Kluyveromyces lactis: one gene and its partner. The protein of the gene in region 1 purifies or fractionates together with the protein of each later gene. This does not show direct contact. Links are inferred from orthologs where the notes say so. Each region holds a gene or a part of one and is shown in the gene's direction. Other genes may lie near its edges. The genes, in order: ARC35 and ARC15.

Evidence for each region.
Region 2: the proteins of ARC35 (region 1) and ARC15 purify together in Saccharomyces cerevisiae (affinity purification with mass spectrometry; 5 studies listed by BioGRID, with this or other methods). This does not show direct contact. The link is inferred for Kluyveromyces lactis from reciprocal best matches to the Saccharomyces cerevisiae genes ARC35 and ARC15.

Annotation. Positions count from the first base shown.
Region 1 is NC_006042.1:670,827-673,808, forward strand, and holds ARC35 (Arc35p), read left to right. Parts: upstream 1-1,287; coding exon 1,288-2,268; downstream 2,269-2,982. Other genes in the region: MRPS12 (mitochondrial 37S ribosomal protein uS12m), read left to right, coding at 384-887.
Region 2 is NC_006039.1:699,383-701,445, reverse strand, and holds ARC15 (Arc15p), read left to right. Parts: upstream 1-771; coding exon 772-1,233; downstream 1,234-2,063. Other genes in the region: ARG56 (bifunctional acetylglutamate kinase/N-acetyl-gamma-glutamyl-phosphate reductase), read left to right, coding at 1-425; YRB2 (Yrb2p), read left to right, coding at 1,539-2,063. UniProt on the Saccharomyces cerevisiae protein: Functions as a component of the Arp2/3 complex which is involved in regulation of actin polymerization and together with an activating nucleation-promoting factor (NPF) mediates the formation of branched actin networks.

The DNA of each region.
Region 1 (2,982 bases):
TCCAGTATAGTTGTTTGATATTTCAAAATAGGAAATACAACAACTACCTCAGTAAGGACTTTTCTCGTAATTCGGAACCCGCATAGTGCAGCTGGTGTTCCCAACGAAATGAACAAAATCTTTTAGGTTAAAAGATCTCTCAAACCATGCACATTTTCTGAACAATTTCCCGGACATCAGCAACAACACATATTCGATCACATGACTTCCGAATATTTTCAACTATGATTTTTCATCATCAGAAACTGACAAAAAATTATGAAGCAAATGTTGAATTGAAAGAGTTATATCAATCGGTCAGTGAATAAATGTTGGCGTAAGTTCAACTCTGAGTTTGACTTACGTGCACTGGATCTTAAGAAACAATCCTGTCAAAGATACCAATGTTCAAACAGGTTTTCGGATTGAGCAGTAGTCTGACTAGACTATCGTTGCGTAATGTTCGTTCAAGCATAGCATTTGCACCACCACTGCAACAACGTTCTTTCTCATATACTTCACCAATACAAGCCACGTTGAACCAAATAAAGAGAGGGGTCAAGCCTCCTGGCCGTAAGAAGATCACTGAATCCCCAGATTTGGAGGTATGCCCGATTCGTAAAGGAGTTGTGCTAAGAGTGATGGTATTGAAGCCAAAGAAACCTAATTCTGCTCAGAGAAAAGCTTGTAGAGTGAGATTAACCAATGGTAACATTGTTTCTGCATATATCCCAGGCGAAGGCCATAACGCACAAGAGCACAGTATTGTATATGTTCGTGGAGGCCGTTGCCAAGATTTACCTGGTGTGAAATATCATGTTGTCCGTGGTGCCGGTGATTTGGCCGGTGTTGTCAACAGAATCAGCTCCAGATCGAAGTACGGTGTGAAGAAACCAACAAAGGAGTAAGATACCAACAGTATTATATTCTGAATTATCAACATAAAATATATACTTATGTTTATAAACTAGACCTTCATGTAAATATGCGAATAATCTATCTACTGGTTGCTCAATCTTTATGGCCACGTGACCGAAATTTTGTTCGGATGGTTTTTCCATCATAGAAAAGTGCTGAAAATTTAGTTAACAACGATTTCAACGAAAAGGTGCCCCTATTGGAACAAACAGAAAGAAAGATTCATCATCTGCAAGGAATTGGGAAATTTCGAAGAGACTAAACCTGCTCAGTGTTGAGGAAACTTACAAGTTGATATTGTTCCAAGTCAATTGAAGAAAAGCTCATAGACTTGTTCGAAAAAAAAGCCTGGGTGAACACTTGTGAGCCTTCTAATATCAATACATAATAATGTTACACCTTAAACCATACAACCTATTGGTCCAAAAGACATTAACAGAAGCTTTGGAAGCTTACAACAATGGGTCTCCTTTAACTTTGGACAGAATCATCTCCGACTTTGATTATACAACGTTACACATCACCAACGATGGCACTGATAAGTCGAACCTATTAGTTTCCATCAGAACCAAGGCTACGCAATCTTGTAATGAGAGTGGGAACGATTTACAAGGGTTCTTGCAGGCAAAATTCGATGAAGTACCAGGTTTGGCTCTATCATCTGCTAAAAAGGAGGCCGGTTACGATTTTACCATTACTGTTGATCTATCTCAAATCACTGCGCAATCTATTGTGCAAGCATCTTTGTTTAAGATCCTTGTAATGTCATATCCATTCTATTTAGCGTTTGGCCAGAGTAATGCTCTTTCTCAATTGAATGAAATAGACCAAGTGGAAAAATCAAAGGAGGCCAGGGCTATGGTTATCAAATACAGAGATGATGAAAACATATACATCAAGCCGTCCTTTGATCGTATCACTGTTATATTCGAAACTATATTCCAAGATGAAACTGACAAAGTTTTCGGTAAAGTTTTCCTACAAGAATTCGTAGACGCAAGAAAGAGAAATAGATCCATCCAATCTGCGCCTCAAGTGCTATTCTCCCATGAACCACCTTTGGAAATTCAAGAAGTAGCCCAACAACACGCTCACGTTGCAGGTGCTAAGAAGTCTACCAGGAGATTCATCACATTTGTATTGTTCCCACGTCACTACTCCTCCGATGAACTAATGTTCACATCTGTGTCACAGCTTGCCCTATTCAGGAACTATTTCCATTACCATATCAAGTGTGCTAAGGCATACATGCATTCAAGAATGAGATATCGTGTTGATACATTCATCAAGGTCTTGAATAGAGCAAAGCTAGACGAAGAAACTGAATCCGATTCACGTAGAACAATCACCGGTAGAAAAATGGTCTACTAAGTAGAAATTGGTTTCAATAATGTGTTTAAAGTATAAAATAGAATGCTGCCGATGTAGCGATTTATATCACGTGACAAGTAGATGATCCTATTCAGATTTTTTTCCCTCCGTAATGCCATGCAATTGCTGGGCAATAAACGCTCGAGCCTTGAGTCAGTTCTAACACAACCAAAGAGGAATGGAAAAAAAAAAAAAAAGACCGGGTAAAACCTACCTGAGTGGAAAGAAAAAAAAAAACAACGCAACTCCGAGTCGGACCATTCCGTCCCAGTTTTAGAGTGCTTGAGAAGCTCAAGAAGCTTAATTTTCAATTTTCCTCACCCTTGTTGCAGCTGCGAAGTAAGGCACAAGGTAAATGGTACATGGCCTAACCAGAGTACTAACGCCGGTCAAGTTTGGGCTGGAATTAGCACTGCCCTGCCTTGCCCCTTCCTTTATCTGTCCAAACCCCACTTCACAATTCAGAACGGAATGACAGCTGGGCAAGCCTATACTGCCAATGTTCGCAAACTTGCATTCTGGAACCAAAACCCTACGGCCTTACCTGTTTAGCCATTCCTTACATGGTAATGCCATTTGTGCTTTTTTTTTTTCCTTCATTAATTCTACGCCCACGTTACTGGGTCTTACCCAAACGGAATATATTTTATGATATCGTCGGCAATTTGGGATGCTATTATCCAGTACTCCATCATAATATACCTCCCACTTTGC
Region 2 (2,063 bases), on another chromosome or scaffold:
ATCTAATTCCTTACTCCTTAACAAACCATATCCATGAGCGTGAAATTTCAACTCGTTTGGGTTTGGAAGTCGCATTTGTTCCTCATGTTGCCCAATGGTTCCAAGGTATTTCTCATACTATTTCTATTCCTATTAAGAAGAACTCACTATCTTCAGAACAAATTAAGGCCTTGTACACCGAATTCTACGCTAACGAAAAGTTGGTACATGTTGCCGATGATATTCCGTTAGTTAAGGACGTTTCTGGTACTCACGGAGTAGTTGTTGGTGGTTTCAAGGTAAATGATGCAAAAGACCGTGTCGTAGTCTGTGCTACTATTGACAACTTATTGAAGGGTGCTGCCACTCAATGCTTACAGAACATCAACCTGGCCTTGAGTTACGGTGAATACGACGGTATTCCAGACAATAAGATTATTCAATAAACGGAACCACCAAAGAATAACCCGTATATCTATATCAATTTGAACTTAGTTAATATATATGTATAAGAAGATAATGTTATCATCTGCTTATCGTTCTTCCTGTCAGTGATAAACAGTCAATCGGTCCAGTGCTGTAAACCATAGTTACCCTGTTTCCAGATTTATTACCCGGATATCTCCTATAAGTTACTATTGAATGGGATTCATATTGAATGGAAACCTTTAAATGGATTAGGTTAAAATACTCGAAATAACTGCAGGCCGGTCTACTTCTTTTATCAGGAAGCATTAGCGCTGAATTATCCTTATCGTATTCATCCAAGCAGCTGCCTTCTGAACTAGTAATATGGAAGACTGGAGAAGAATTGATATCGATGCTTACGATCCTGAAAGTGGGAGATTAACGGCGGATGATTTGAAACCACCATATTCACATACCGTGAGTTTACAAGAGTTACAGCCAACCATTCAACAGTTACGTTCTTACACATCATCTGGTGATTTTGCAGCTGCTGTTGAGCTATTCACAACTGATCCTCCATACAACGCCGACGAACAAGCGAAATCACAATATTTCTCTGGTATATTGGAGGTGCTAACCCAAGTGAGACAAGTGGATATTGCTAATATAGTTAAGCGCTTGGATCGCAAGCAACAAGACGCATTGATAAAATACCTATACAAGGGTATGTCTATACCTGAGGGTCAAAAGCATGGGGGTATCCTTCTCGCATGGTTCGAAAAGTTAACGCAAGTTGCGGGTGTCAATCCAATCGTTCACTATCTCTCGGATAGAAGAACTGTATAAAGAACTATATAACAGTACGATTTTACTTAATTTAGTATGATATATTTACTCTAACGTATATGATCCAGTTTCACCTACCAATGGGCGATCATTACGGATCTTTGTTTGTTTGGCCTTTGTTCACATGGAGTGCAGGCCCTTTATTAAGTATTACTGGGACCTCTCAGAGTTAGTATTTCCAAAAAAAAAAAAAAGAGAAAGTACTAGTTTTAAACATTCAGTTCTTATTGAAAGCACAGACATATGCCAAGAAAGGGTTATAATATTGTCAAGAAGGCTCCAGTATATTGTTCCTGCTTTTCACAATGCCAGAAACTTTAAACGATAGCAATAAACGTGCGCTTCCTGAGGTGAATTCGGAATTAGAAAGCACAGAAACTCCTGTGAAGAAGGTCAAACTCAATGATAAAGATGAAGCAAAACCTTCAGAAGAGACTGATAAGTTCATAACAGAGAATGATACAGCAAATGAAGAGGCCAATTCCGTAGAGAGACCTAAAAATATTGAAACTGCTGAGACAACGGAAACAGCGGTAACAAAAGAAGAAGATACAAATAATAAAAAAGAAGAAGAGGCCAAGGAAAAAGATGAGGGCGCCAAGGCAGAGATAGAAGGGAAGAAAACAGAACCTAAACCAGAAAAAGACGTGGAAAAACCATCGTTCACATTTGGCCAATCTTCAAGTTTTGTTTCTGGCTTTGGAGTGGCAACTAAACCATTTGGAGCAGCCAATGCTTTTTCTGCTGGTTTACCTGCGGCTAAAACCACTGAGAAAGATGGAAATAAGGACACCGTCAAGGTTGAACCAGGTTTCTCGTTCGGATCTGGT